2 linked regions of the Styela clava genome follow. The protein of the gene in region 1 purifies or fractionates together with the protein of each later gene. This does not show direct contact. Links are inferred from orthologs where the notes say so. Each region holds a gene or a part of one and is shown on either strand. Other genes may lie near its edges.

Region 1 (8,076 bases):
AACATCTTTAAAATCTGGTAACTTTATTTTAGATATCTTATTTGGGTTGACGTTTCTACATTTACGGACTAGTGTCGGCACGCTTTTTGCATAATAACAGTGGAAGCCGAGGGTGAATTCTCGCGTAATCCAAGCGATCGATTTACCGGCGTGAATTCCGTGCCCAAGCAAAGCGGTACAGATTATGTGGTATTGTACATACGAATAGTAAAATGGCATTCGAATATTTTAATATTGTATTCGCTATTCGAATATTTTGCACAGCCCTAGACCGGCCATGCTTAAAAACTCATTTCGCAAAGATAGGTAGTGGAAAATGATAGCAAGATTGGAAGCGGTTGTGAACCGCGCTTTGTGAAATTTATATAAATCCATCGGACGGTTAAATATCAGTTATGACGTCATAATACTGCAAAAAAGCAATTTTCTGCGGAACACCCGGAGGTCTCTCGCGGAACACCGGTGTTCCGCGGAACACCGGTTGAAAATCAATGATCTATAGCAGTGGCCGGCAACCTTTTTTCAGTAACGGACCGGTAAAGCCTGACCAAAATTTTGGCGGACCATCTTTATACAAACGAACTAATCTAATGTAATAAATAATATGCGTTAGAAAATGTATGTTGACAATACATTCAAAAACGAAGGTGATACTATTCACGTAACGTATTTCTCACGTTAAACCCACTTCGATCTTTCGTTTTTGTAATTGCCATTTTAAAAACCCAACCTCACGTGAAGATAACAATGGCATTGTACGTTTTCATGTCACCTTTCTGCGGACCGGTAGTGACCTTTCCGCAGACCGGCGATGGGCCGCGGCCCGGTGGTTGCCGACTACTGATCTATAGTATATGAAGGAATTTGCATACAATAAACAATGGAATAACTGTTATCTACAACATGACTATATTACCATGCATTTCATGTTTGCAGATTACTGCGATATATTTTTATATACCATGAGTTACGTTATCAGAATTAGATTAATACGGCAAGCATTTAAAATAGTGCTATCGGTCATAGATTTGAACATTTTGCGCAACACAAAATCATCCTAGTAAAAGTCCATACTTTTAAATACCAACCATTATCCAAATTATTTGCCAAAAAGCGGGATAAAGTATAAATTATATTTCTGACTTGCGACAATTTTTTCGTGAGTACATAAATACGAATGGATTTTTTTATATTCGGGCACTTCAATGTCCGCATATATATCTTTTATTATTTTATAAATACGAAAATATGTATCAAGAATTAATTATAGTCAGGCAGTTTACCACACATTTTAAGTCCATGGATCGCCGTTGTATTTTGTAAATACGAAAATAGGAATCAAAAATTAATAATAATTGCCGTGATTAATAATAGATTGCCGTGATATTGTGCCCGAATATAATTTATTTTTGATTCCGTATTTCATTCCTTGAACTTAATATCTGTTTTTATAAATTTTGCAAGCAGTTCACGCACGAAGACTTTGAATAATTATGTATTAGTCAAATCGAAGTCCTGTTAGACCACTGGTTCTCAACCAATGGGCAATGGGCCACTGGTAAGCCTCAGAGGCATTTTGAGGTGGGCCACAAACATATTATAAATTACAAGGTTTGTTGATCTAGAACAGCTAGATATGAAAATATATATATATTAATTTGTTTGCACATTACATCAAAATTAAAAAGAATATAACGAGAATGTCATGGCCTTCAATTCGCCAGGCTCGAACTGAGCATAACATATAAAAAAATTAACAAAAAACGAATCCACGAGGACATTGTCTCATAAATACGAACAGAACAAACATTAAATTACCCAATTCCTAATATATTAAATTTTCAAGTATTCCTCACTATCCATCGGAAGAAATTTCATCCACTCCTTCCTTTTAGTGTTCATCTTTTTAGTGACTTCAACCACCTCATTATTCGCCGGAAGAAATTTCATTCACTTCTTCCTTTTACTGTTCATCTTTTTAGTGACTTCAACCACCTCATTATTCGTCGGAAGAAACTTTATTCACTTCTTCCTTTTAGTGTACAGTTTTTAGTGACTTCAACCACCTCATTATTCGTCGGAAATTTTTTTATCCACTTCTCCCTTTTAGTGTTCAGCTTTTTAGTGACTTCAACCACCTCATTATTCGTCGAAAGAAATTTCATCCACTTCTTCCTTTTAGTGTTCAGCTTTTTAGTGACTTCAACCACCTCATTATTCGTCGGAAGAAATTTCATCCACTTCTTCCTTTTAGTGTTCAGCTTTTTAGTGACTTCAACCACCTCATTATTCGTCGGAAGAAATTTCATCCACTTCTTCCTTTTAGTGTTCAGCTTTTTAGTGACTTCAACCACCTCATTATTCGTCGGAAGAAATTTCATCCACTTCTTCCTTTTAGTGTTCAGCTTATTAGTGACTTCAACCACCTCATTATTCGTCGGAAGAAATTTCATCCACTTCTTCTTTTTAGTGTTCAGCTTTTTAGTGACTTCAACCACCTCATTATTCGTCGGAAGAAATTTCATCCACTTCTTCCTTTTAGTGTTCAGCTTTTTAGTGACTTCAACCACTTCATTATTCGTCGGAAGAAATTTCATCCACTTCTTCTTTTTAGTGTTCAGCTTTTTAGTGACTTCAACCACCTCATTATTCGTCGGAAGAAATTTCATCCACTTCTTCCTTTTAGTGTTCAGCTTTTTAGTGACTTCAACCACCTCATTATTCGTCGGAAGAAATTTCATCCACTTCTTCCTTTTAGTGTTCAGCTTTTTAGTGACTTCAGCCACCTAACTACCCGTCGGAAGAAATTTCATCCACTTCTTCCTTTTAGTGTTCAGCCTTTTAGTGTTTTTTAATTTTTCACCTTTGGGAACACTTCAACTTCCGTTTTCCCTCCACTTCATCCGTTTCTTCCTTCAGCCTTTTAGTGTTGTCCCTGAATTGGCCGTCTGATACCAGACTGTACCGGTACTGCTCACCGGCAAAAATCTCTTTTTCACTATACACACAGTTAGTTGTTTCCTACTGTCCCAGTTACAGTACGGTACCGGTATAATGCTTTTGTCGCTAACAACAAAACTAGCCAAAAATACCGAGGAATTGACGCAGTATCGCTGTACAAAACATCAACAAACGCACGTGCAAGAATAGCCAAATAATAATTTTTTTTGAGCTCTTTGGGGTTATCAATTTCCGGGTTTGCTTCTGGGTTTACGAGAGGCAGATGTCCGACGTCCAACATAAAAAACTTACATGTCGCACATCTGTGTCTTAGGCCAGTAAGGTCTTGAACATGTATCCCGTCTCTTTTATACCGTTTAACTATTATGCAGATACTGTTACATTTTTGGGGTAAATATACATACATGCATCCAATTACTCTTTGAGGAAATATAACAACTACTCAAAACAATTACTTTTTATATATGATGTGGCAAAATTTTCAACTTGAACGTTGATGGACATATTTTTTAAACGGCATATAACTTTATTGAGATTTTCTTATCCGGTACTTAGAGATAAAACTGTGATTGATACAATGGGACCTCTTGAAGTATACGCACCAAGATGGCGCACAGCCTGAACTCAGGTTATGTACCAGGTTAGAGTTCAGGTTATGCGACATCTTGGTGCTCATATTTCAGGAGTAGGCTACCATACAATGACCTAACCTCGAAAATAACAGTAAGAATCTAAGCCCATACATTTCAATAATAATTTCAAAAATGGAAGTCAAAAATCAAATGGAGCTTATGTCTTGCGCACAATACAAAGCGTAATAATATTTCGTTGGTGTTGATGCATTTATGTTGAGACTTGGATTTCGCTTTTCCATTTGGTATAGATAACCAGAGCTTTTTCCGTGTTTGTACGCTCATGGAATGATTCCCGTTGCACGAGGACCAGCCAATTTCCAGATATTTTGCGAGACACTTAATAATGACACAGCCTAATAATAATTGATAATCAATAATTAAAAATTGTCAAGCCAAGCATGCAAATACAATAGAAGACACTGGAATTGGTCAATATTGTCTTGAATTTTTTCATCATGTCTCATTTGTAAATATTTTGGTTTTATTTTCGGAATGCTCGAATGAATTCTTTAGCCTTATGGATAATATTATTATGAGCAAAAAATTTAATATTGGTCAAGTTTTGTGAAATCAATGGTCGAATAGCCAGAATAATGCACTAACGCACAACTGTTATATTATATTACTGATTTAATGAATTGCGGAATTTCACATACAAATTACTCTATACATATCGTACTGTATTGTAAAGTATGGTACAGTAATAAAATGTACAAATAATGCAAAAAGTACGATGTAAACGAGGAAAACCAATGAGCCAGCCCAAAGCACTGATTTTCTTGATCACAATTATCCAGTTTAAGGGCTTAGATATTACAGTACAGAATTCTATTACATATTTTTTGGAAGTGCGTTCGTAACCTCGAAACAGCGTAAGTCGCGACCGTCGTAACCCGAGGACTCCATGTACTGTTGATTTAATAATGATATATAGCAATTAGTTTCCTGATTGGGCCAGCTACAGATAAAAAAAACTTCGTTACTGGGTCGGAGGCTCAATATGAAACTATGAGTAAAAAGCGGTTTATTTACAAATAACTAGCGTAACAACTAATGTAAAGCAAACAGCTAGAGACCAAGTGTCACAGTGATTAATGGGACTGACGACTCAACGCGTCCAATAATTCTTTAGATCGCTTGTGGGTTTAATCTGCTTTTGATTTTGTCAATCTTCATACTTCGGAATACTGATTTGGATGGGTGAGTATGAAGTATACGTGGCTCGTTTTACACATTAAATTTAGAGCGTGGGGAATTACGATATTTATTTAGCTGGCGATTCGTTTTGGTTGCCCACGACTTCCCTTCCCCAGTGAAAATGTGTGTTGGATTTCATTTATTTTTCAATTTCGTATGTTTTAATGGATGGAAAAAACAAAATTGACTATGACTTTTACTCGATATTTTAAACAGAAATTTTACATCCATAAAAATTATAGTCGTAATTTTAGCAGGCACAAGTGGCCCGGGTGAAACATATGGTGGGCTGGATCTGACCCGCGGGCAGTAATTTGCCCACTCCTGTGATTGAGTAGTCTACGGCCATGCTTTGGCGACGTTGAATCGTATTTCATTTTCAAATAATCACATTTAATAGCTGTGTTAGGCATAAACTACTACATATATGCATTTGTCTAATTAATAACTGGTGACTGAACAAAACGTTATTCTCATTATACACGAAATTTTATCGAATCCAATCGATCGCCCAATTTCCTTCAAAACAAAATCGAGACCGAGGCTATAACGTGAATTATATTTCTTCGAGTAGATTATGGGAAGGACAAGATTGCTTTCAGTCTGTCATGTATCTCTGATTTCTTCATTATGTATTATTGTTTCAATCTATGCATTTTATAAACCGGAACCTCGGTATTTTCACGAGATGAAATCAAACAATGGACCATATCCGAGTGACAGCAATGATAATTTGTTTTGGTTTGTTCAGGTGAGTTCTAGGATAGGATAGGATAAGATTCCTGGACAAGAGGAAAACCGATAAGACGGCTTAATCATATGGTGAACCACGGCTTCTCGTCCGGTTACCAGTCCAGGTATTTTATCTTCAGAAGCATGGTCTTGTCTTAATGGTAGAGGAAGCCTTAACCGACCAGCGGTGACGTGAACCACCCTACGGCAGTGAGGAGTCCAACAATCTTCTCGCACATAATGCGCAACACCTACACGCGCGCATTGAGAAATCGTAAAAACAAAGCTGTGTTACATCAGATGGGCCAGGGGTTGTAAACTACCGGTAGTTCTATACGGAGAATATTTTCCCCGCAATGCTCAATTATACGGCGAACCACGACCTCTGGTTATCAGGTTACAGGGAGGAATTTTTTTTTATCAAAATGAACGTTTTATATATTTATATGTATAGACGCGAATAGAATTGTATGTACCATGGTTAAGAGCAGTGATAGTCAATATCATATCAGTTTTGTCTGTTATATATACTATGTTAGGGTTGCCATACCGTCCGGAAAATTCCGGACATGTCCGGAATTTAGGGTCAAATTTTGCCTCCGGGAAGAATTTAAAAAATGCTCAAATGTCCGGAATCCGGAATTTTACTGCATCTGCAATTCTACTGTGCACACTGCTAATGCGGAACATTGTTATTTCGTACCGTGCGCATATTTTTTTACTACGAAGTCATGAAAATAGTCATGCACTGTCCGGAATTTTGCTTTTTCAAATATGGTGACCCAATTCTATATGTCATCTTTGTTGATACACCCTTGATTATATTTATGTATTTCATTACGCTGCAAATGTATATTTTAATTATTTCGCTAAAAAGTAAGGACGGTATAGCTGCGCTTCAATTTTATGCATCGATATAATATATAGATTTCTCTATTTTTTTATCAATTAGGTATCAGATATTCACACCAGTAAATTTTGGAAATCGGACCAAGTTGAAGCTTTTGATGATTTTTGCAATTCTACTCTTTCTACAATAAATCCGGAATTAGTGCTTGTTACTGGAGATCTTACCGATGCAAAAGAAGAAAACAAGATTGATTCTCGACAATTTGAAGAAGAATGGAAAATATATCACTCTATTATCACGAAAAATAATGTCACAGAAAAATATGTGTGGCTTGATATCCGAGGAAACCATGGTAAATCTTGAAAATTGAACGTTTTTATGTTGAAGTGCAGTACGATAACGAATAAAATTTGGACACCCCAGTCATGTGCTTGAAACTAAAAATGGGTACTCCCGAAGTATGTGAACCAAGATGGCGGACTTCGAGAAACGTAGTATGTGAACGAGGTTGGGATTAGACCATAATTTCAGGTACAAACAATACTGGAGTCACTTGGCTAATACGAGAGTCATTCGGCTAGTCCCTGAACTCGTAATAGAACTAAAATTGGTTAAAACTACATGGCCTAACCCTAAACTGATACACATACTACGTTCCGGTGTCCACCATCTTGGTTCACATACTTTGGGGGTACAGAAAAAGGCACATTTGTACTCTCATTACTTTCTACGCTATATGTAATTGATTGGTTAACTAATCTAACCTATCCTATTCTACAGTCATGTAAAATTATGTCATTTCAATATTGTATATAATATTAGAAATCCAACAGATTTGTAAATGAATAACATCTTACTATTATCATTTGCTCTCCCTGACACAAATTCTTTTCCTTTCTTGCACAGATGCGTTCGACGTCGCTCGCGCAAATGATCCGAATTCTAATTACTATTTAAAATATTCTGGTGACAAAGGAAAGTTGTCGTCTGCTGTTTATCAGGTTGAGAAACAGTACGGAAAATACTCTTTTATTCCTGTTGATGCGACCATGATACCAGGCCCAAGGAGACCATACAATTTTATGGGTGAGAATATTACAAATTGTAGATTGTATATATACCTAAGTCAAAACATAGCCTACTACTCTACTGCGTGGTAGCTTGCTTACTTCGCCTGCTCTGATCGAAATTTTGCAGGACTGAGCACGCGATGAAAGCTCTAGGTAGATAAAGTCTTCTGAACGTGGCGGATTTAAACGCGTAGCAATGCCACCCAAGCGATAAACTTAATGAGAACATGGAGGTTGTTTTAACGTGATTCGTATAGCTGGGAAAGAGCTAAACTTCTCATTTTATCGGTTATTAACGTTCTACTTCAGGGTATCTTTCAGAGAGAAGCATGGAGAAACTTGAAAATTTCGAGCACGAAACGGCCAGCGATAATTTCACTATTTGGTACGGTCATTATCCAACTTCCACCATAACAAATTTTCCTCCCAGACTCACACGTTTGGTTGGAAAGAGGGGTGGCGTATACTTAGCTGGACATCTTCATAAATACTGCGGAAGGTCGGAAATATATGCCGTCAATCCTCATGGTATTTGTTTCTTCGTACTCGTGACAATATTTGATGTATTTTTGTAGATTGCATCAGATTTAATAAAGTTTTTCGTACGTAGTTTGGGTAAAAACTCGATTTT
Region 2 (8,026 bases), on another chromosome or scaffold:
ATCAAGTCCATGCATTTAAATTAAAATACCTGGCTAACTAATTCCATACTCCCATGGGCTGCTAACCGGACGAGAGGCGGTATGATTGAGTCATCTTATCGGCTACCCCACCCCCCAGAATAAATATGTAAATCCTATCCTAACTATTTCAACCTCTGCCCCACGACCACCACCCTCAATGAATAGGGTGAGCTATAGACAGAATAAGATTGTAGTCTGGACAGTGGTTGCTTGCACTGGGACTTGTTTGGAAATAAGATGTACATAATCCCATGAAATAAGTAAAATGATGGAGTCAATCACATGTTTTATCCAAGTAATTCTATGAACAGTGGATCATACCTTTTATACATCTGTTGATATCAACAACTTCGGGAGTTTTATTCAAACCAGTTCCTTCTAATATTTTAGTTCTTGTATAATCTTTTATTCGATCGCATAATTGTTTTTGATGTTCCACATACCTAGATGATTTCACTGAAACAAAGAAAGATTAAATGAAACATGTTACATAAAAATGATAGTGAAATAAAATTGAATGAAAATAACAATGAAACTATTTAAAAATATGAAGTGATATATAAGTTATTATCTGGGGGCATGGTATGAAGCCATAGCTGAGAGAAAATGAGATAAAGTATGTAAAGTAGCCTGCCCATGCGTAAGAGATACAATTCTAAATCCTTATTACGAGGCCACAGATTTGGTTTTCATTAAGTCAACAATTATCCTCAAGTAAAAGGGAGTAAATTGAACGGGGTTATGCAAAAAAATAAATGAGATAAAATTATACATTATTCCTGTAGGTTGCAATGACTGAAGATTGCCTTGTATGGTGGGTGCCCTATTTCAGTAAATGACAGAAAAAATTGAGCAAACAGTGTAATCATAGAGATACCTTGTAATGACAATCCAACTACGATGGAAAAAACGATGACGAAGAATATCACAGCAAATAATATTCCCAACATAACTTTTTTTTGAACTTCCATATCCGAATTTCCGTTTCTACCTGTTAATGTAATAATAAAAGATAAAATTATTATGCAAGCTTTTACCTTGTGAAGGTGGGTAGACTCTCTTGTTTTCGAATGATAACATCATTCCTCTATTTCAGACACAAAGGCATAACGTTAACTGCGGTAATGGGGCAGACATAAGATAAATTATATTTGGATTCATTTATAAAGATGATAAAGAAATTGTACAAATCTGTGGTATGTATAAATAAAAACATTAAACCTCCAGTAGGTGTATTATCATTCTTTTCTTCATCTTTGACGTCCTCAGAAGTCATCGCAAACATAGACTGAATGGAAAAGAGTAGCGTCAGACAGCACTCGCGCGAACGGTAGGCGACAAACGTTGTCAGGGGAAACGTAATGCACGAAACCCCAACAACACTATGATTTACTAGGCAAAGTGATCGTAAAAATTTAAATATTTAATTAATATTCGTGTTATGTTTATATTAGTTAGTAATAAATAAAATAGGTTGATCGTGCGGTCATATCGCAGTTATCCTCAAAGACGAAAACAGCTACCGCCAATCTGATACGCTTGAATTACTACACATGGTAATCAGTTGGGGAATCTGGCATTTCGTAGCCGTTTTCGTTTCATTTCTTTGAGCTGCCAAAGGTGAGATAGGCGACGTTGAGCTTTACTAAGTCTGTTCGATTCTTTCTATTTCTTCATAAATTATATACAAATTTTGGTTTTTGTCTTAATTGGTTGGTATAGGCTACGTAGTAACTTTATTCGAGGATTCTTTTTCCAGGCCAGTTTTCCCGATGATACTGTGATAGGATTTACATATACATATAAGTTATATATATTCCGGTATTTATCATACGGTACCCGGTACCGTATCTCGCGGAAGAGGAAATCCGACTAGAAGGCTAACCAATTATTTGTGTGTTTATTGTTTTGTGTACCTGTATGTTTTTCGAGGAAACTTGTAGTATCAGTAGGGTACCGTATATTACAGTATAGATCAGTGGTTCCCAAACTTTTTGAAAAAAGTTCCATGACTGACCCCTTGCAATTTTTTGGATGATTCCCGGCCTTGTGCACTAAAATAAAAAAAACATTATTAAAATATCACAACAAAAAATCAATGCGTCGTGTAGTGATAAACATTAAAACGAACAAAAGTACCGGTACCGTATATGACGAAGTTTAACGAGATGAATGCACTTGTTTTGTTGTAAAATGTTCAGCATTTAAAAGCGAACTGGCATAAACTGCCTAGTGTCTGCTGTAACTCCCTCCTATACCGATGAACATGCAAAAAGGCAGCATCAGCTACACCTCTGCAGTTACGGTAACTTGTATTGGCAACAATTGAACTCTCAGTGATATCACACCCACAGATCTGTGACATCACAATGGGGCAGCGTGATCGAAACAGTAAGTGAAGAATCAGTGTCTCCAACAAAAAGGGGCAAATGCTTATTTGCAAATTTAAGCACTCAATTTTTGTGTTATCAAGCTATGAGCCATATAACAGATTTCTTTCGCGGACCATCCGAAAGTGCTTCGCGCACCCCACTTTGGGAACCACTGGTATAGATGGATAGAGCAGTTTTAAAAGCGGAATTTCACAGTTTGCTGGCCAAATTGAGACTAACTTCTTTTTGACAATGTTCATAATGTTTAGCTTTTTCATTTTCTAATTTAATAAACATCACTAATTCATAATTCTCATTGAATGTGAGTGATAACACATCAATTAATTTGAATATCACTTTTTGATATAATGAGTGATATAATTATGGTCAAAGTTAATCCAACACAACAGGCATTTCTTTACACTTCTAACTTATTCACTTATTTAAATAGATATTGGGGTCTGGTATAGTTTAGTACCACATGCACTTCTAGTTGGTCTGGCCTGACAATTTTTGCATATGTCAATCCTAACCCCTACCTGATTACGTCACCGAAAAATTATGTCATTTCGTCACAGTGGCGTAATAAGGCCAAAGTATGTGGATGGTCATCCAAAACGCGCAGACGATCACCCGAAATCGAGCAAGCTATTTCTCTCATTTCTTGTCACAACGATCACGATAGGAGAGAGATCGTCAGCATTAGCGAGTTCGTTATTGGCGGCACAGATGCCATTATTTGTAATTATACTTTGGCAAGCCCTAATACGTGATGGTGACGTCGTAGTAACATAATTTTTGGATGGCATAGTCAGGTGGGGGTTAGGAATAACATATGCATAATTCGTTATGCTACGTCCACTGGAAGTACTTGTCGTACCAAACTATACTAGACCCAAATATTGTTACTGGTCCAATTCAGGTGATATTGAAATAAATCAACTATCTAACAAAATGGCTGAAAGACAACGAAAACTAAAAATTCAAACTGGAGTTGTGAAAAGAATTGCTAAAGAGAAGGTGATGTATGAAGAAGAAGCTGTGGGTATTGCAGAAAAGATCAGTAAGATGGAAGATGCTGGTGGAGATGAATATGTTATAAAAAAGCAAAAGGAGGTCTTGGCGGAATCTAAACAAATGGGTCCAGATTGTCAAAAAAGACTTGAACAAGCAATAGAAGTATTAAGCGGTCTTGTTGAAACTGAAAAAGATCTGGAAGAAACTGAAGAATATCAAAATGCTGTGAATCAACTAAATGAAGTGAAATAAGCTTTGTAACTGCAAAATATGAATACTGTATTAGTGTTATACATTGAAAATGTGGTTTGAACATGATTTGAAATGAGTATATATACCAATGTAGTTTATGTAGAAAATCACAATTCTTCGAAATTTATAATAAATGCCAGTACTGGAAATATTTAAATAAAATTGACTTGACGAAATTTGAATTTATCCTGAAAAGCTGCTTTGTAAGAATTTACAAATTACTGCTTTTTGCAGACTTTATTTTTGCTGAGAAATCATTTTTATTATGTCCATTTTAAGATGATATTTCAAAATTTTATCGTTGTTAAAAAGCACAACTCCGAATATTTGAATCTATGTTGATTGAAATGCAGAATCCTTTTTCTGGGTATCTTTGAATTTAAACAAAAATTAAATTTTTGATTTTGGCAGATTTTTCTTCAAATGGCAGTCTATACATATTCCCAGGACATCTTAGTTATATCTCATTCCTGAATGATTTTGACTTATAAACTAATTTATGATATCTCATCTGATGTTTCATTCATGAACATCATATTTCACATCTAAATTATAGTTAGACCAGTTGTTCCAATACTGTGTTTACATACTTCACCATTGACAAATACAAATTGAATAGGAAGATTACATCATTTGTTAGCACAGTACGTTCTCCTCAGCAGAATTGTACAAATTCAATTACCGATGTTAAATCCACCTCATAAACAAAATTTTTAAGTGTGATTTTTTTAGACACATTACAAAATTTTAGAACTGCTATTCATAGGGAAATATGCAGGTTACTTCAATCAACCACTTAATAGCTCTTGGTTGCATGAATATCGTATCATTTAAGATGTTGCATCAATTATATCAATGTCAGCAAACTCATGATATCATCACTGCTTAACATGTATTTTTTGTTTCCTTGTTCTGGTACACACCAAGATCTGTAAGACTCGAACTGGTTTAAGTCTCGTATAATATAATACTTTTGAAAGCAGTTTTCAATCTTCATTTTAGTCTCCTTACAGACTTTTTTTTGTTTTAGGTGTATCAATGAGTATCGGTGTATGCTTGTTTAGTATAATTTCAGCTGTGAATATTAATTTCATTATGAACCATGATTAAACTGTTCCATACCATACTTGATATTTCTTTAAGTAAGCATATTGATGAAATGCCGCCTGTTTCAGATTTCATTTCAAGTGTTGGACATGATTTATAGTTGACCCATACCTTGGCTATTCTTATACATTATAATTGTTTGATTGTTCACTGGGTCTTTATTTATCTTGCATGCATATTTTACTATTCAATTTAGTTTTGTAAAATTTTGTTTCAGTATTCTAGCAATAAAATGATAGAAAATTCTGCAAAGTATTCGACCAGATTTCGAAAGAAGTTGGTGAAAGCTAGAACTAAACTAAACAAAGAAGGATTAACATTTTCTGATTTCCCAACCCTGTATATTGTTATATCAAACGGGGGTCTTGCTAATGGAGTTCAAAGAAGCAATTTGGAAGAAATAATAACTTCTTTTAAGGAACTAATCATGCTACCTCAAAAATCCTATGCGATGGTTTCCTTCGAGAACACGAAAAATTCACAAGCCACATTTGAGAAATTACAAGGACATGTATTGAAATCAACTCTGAATCTCGCTTCTCCTAATCCGATATTATATTTGCATTATGTCAACGATTTGAATCTACAAAAATCTGGTGATTTTCAATCACCTGGATGGGATAATGTTCCGGGACTGATTATACTTGAAGATTTTATCACAGAAACGGAACAAATAGAACTTTTAAAATTTCTCGAAGCTGACAGCCCGGTCTCAAACGGATTCGATTGCTCTGATAACATTTTAAAACATAGAAAAGTTTGGCATTATGGGTACGAGTTTCGATATAAACACAATGACGTCGACCCTAAATCACCTTTAGAAAAAGGCATACCAAAAATTTTAAAATCTGTAATTTCAAAAATGAAAGAAACTGGGCATATTGTCAAAGAACCGAATCAAATTACAATAAATAAATACGAGCCAGGACAGGGTATTCCATCACACATTGATAATCCTGAAGCATTTGATGACACGCTTGCTTCATTAAGCTTAAATTCACAGACAGTGATGGATTTTAAAAACTCAAAAACAAAGGAACATAACCAAGTTTTGCTTAAGGAACGATCTTTAATGATTTTTACTGGAGAATCGAGATACAAATGGACTCATGGGATTTGTCCTCGAAAAGTTGATCTTATTCCTGTGAACAAAGATGATGCCGATAAATTAACTTCTGTAAATCGTGGAATGAGGATGTCTGTAACATTTAGAAGAGCTAGGGAGGATTACAGGGGTCCCAGGTATGAAAATTATGATGTTAGCACGTCCGGTAGATTTACAATTTAGTGTCTAAATCTACCATTATCCATTTCAGATTTGGTAAAGCAATAATGTGAACCATAACTGACAGTTCGCTCATGGCATTCAAGTGTAATTGTTTCTATGTACAAATAGGAGGTGGAGTTATAAAAGCCAAATAAAATACTTTCGTGCACTCGAAAATAATGTTAAGGAATTGATGCAACTATACTTGACTATACTTTTCAAAAATATTTTAATTTAATAAAACATAATCAATCCGTTTGTTTTTCCAGCCAAAATCCAGATGTAGATCGACCAGCAAATGAAGTAGAAGCTGCAACATTAGAGGAAGAACATGTTCATAAAGTTTACAATGAAATAGCTTCACATTTTACATCAACAAGAGACAAACCGTGGCCCAAAGTTAAACAATTTATTAATGAGTTGGAGGTATTTGTTCCATTACCTAATAAATATTTTGGTACTGAATAATGACCATTCAGAATACTTCCAAAGTAAGTTTAAAATAAAAAACTAAGTCGCCAAACTAAGGGGTCTGCTTATTCCGCATAACTCTGATCGCACTGAACGAAATGACATTATGCTAGTATAATTCCAACAGCTACAACTCGAACCATGCTATGTTCTCATGATAAGACCGTATGTACAATTTGTAGGGTCGGCTTATATGTGAATTTTTATAATTTCACCCTTTTAGGGTCGTTTTTAGAGGGTCAGCTTATATGCCTGGATATACAAGTTCTTTTGTGTTAGATTAAGACTGTCAATTATGAAAATATTTCAAAGACTTGATGATATCATACTCTTGATAAGGGTACTGTTATTTCATGTTTTCTGTATTTCATGTTTTCTGCAAATATAGCCCTGAATTTATAATTTGTTTGTAGGAATCTTCGTGGTTTGGCTCAGAATGACCTATTCCATGGGTGAGGGGGCTTTGTATCAAAGTTAGACTTTTCCCACAGGTGTCGCTGCGTGATAACCAACATTGTTCGTCACCCTTCACCATGAAATGCCATTTTCATGTTTTTTGCCAAGTTTTTGTTTGCTTTTTGCTTTGCTTTTTGGTGAAAAATAAACTACTGACTGACTGACTAAGTTGTAGGATTTGTCTGACTACTGTGCTAATTTATCCACATTAATATATGTTTCAGGCTCACTCAACAATCATAGACGTAGGTTGCGGCAGCGGTCGTTATCTTGGTGTAAGGCAGGATGTTTACATGATTGGATGTGATCGGAGTCTAAATTTAATCAATATTTGTAAAGAAAAAGGTTTCAAGGTGAGATTCATGTACTTGGACTCCTGTATAAACTTACTAGAAATTACGGATGTAGGCGTGTGCTCTGAACTACATATTTATCCTTTGGGAGCGGAAAGCCAATAGGACTAGTTAATAACATATAGCGAACCACAGCCTCTTGTCCAGTTACCAGTCCATGTCTAGTATGGAATCAGTTAGACAATTATTTGTTTTCAGCCGTAACCGACCAGCGGTTCCGTGTATCACCCTACGGCTGCGAGGAGTCCAGCAATCTTCTTGCACATAATTATCTCCGCATGGGATTCAAACCTGCGAACCCACACAGGGTAATCAGAGGTGCGGTGGCAAGCGTGTTCCTAAGCTTAGCACGATGCGCCCATCTGCCGGGCCATATATGCAACCAGTAATATGCCTGCCACAAACATTTCAAAATCTTCTGTTTGAAACTCCACATGTCTAACTATGATTATTTGACCTTCAACCTTGTGCTAATTATAGGTTTTCACTTGTGATGGTCTGAATCTTTCATTACGGCATGGAATCTTTGATGCCTGCATTTGTATTGCTGTTATTCATCATTATTCAACTCATGAGAGAAGAATGAAAGCGATTGAACAACTTTTACAACTAGTGAGGGTCGGAGGACAAATTTTAATTTCTGTTTGGGCCATGGAACAAGAATACAAAAGGTTTGTTTAGAAGTTGATTTCAGGAAGAATATATTTTAA

What was found.
Region 2: the proteins of multifunctional methyltransferase subunit TRM112-like protein (region 1) and tRNA (carboxymethyluridine(34)-5-O)-methyltransferase alkbh8-like purify together in Homo sapiens (co-immunoprecipitation; 3 studies listed by IntAct, with this or other methods). This does not show direct contact. The link is inferred for Styela clava from reciprocal best matches to the Homo sapiens genes TRMT112 and ALKBH8.

Annotation. Positions count from the first base shown.
Region 1 is NC_135251.1:12,669,168-12,677,243, reverse strand, and holds the start of multifunctional methyltransferase subunit TRM112-like protein, read right to left. Parts: upstream 3,224-8,076; 5' UTR 2,945-3,223; intron 1-2,944. Other genes in the region: transmembrane protein 62-like, read left to right, coding at 5,371-5,544, 6,478-6,727, 7,282-7,461, 7,755-7,973. UniProt on the Homo sapiens protein: Acts as an activator of both rRNA/tRNA and protein methyltransferases. Together with methyltransferase BUD23, methylates the N(7) position of a guanine in 18S rRNA.
Region 2 is NC_135256.1:5,600,153-5,608,178, reverse strand, and holds the start of tRNA (carboxymethyluridine(34)-5-O)-methyltransferase alkbh8-like, read left to right. Parts: upstream 1-5,001; coding exon 5,002-6,011; intron 6,012-6,305; coding exon 6,306-6,462; intron 6,463-7,187; coding exon 7,188-7,316; intron 7,317-7,796; coding exon 7,797-7,987; intron 7,988-8,026. Other genes in the region: uncharacterized protein LOC120327843, read right to left, coding at 343-477, 899-1,012, 1,243-1,306; tubulin-specific chaperone A-like, read left to right, coding at 3,348-3,662.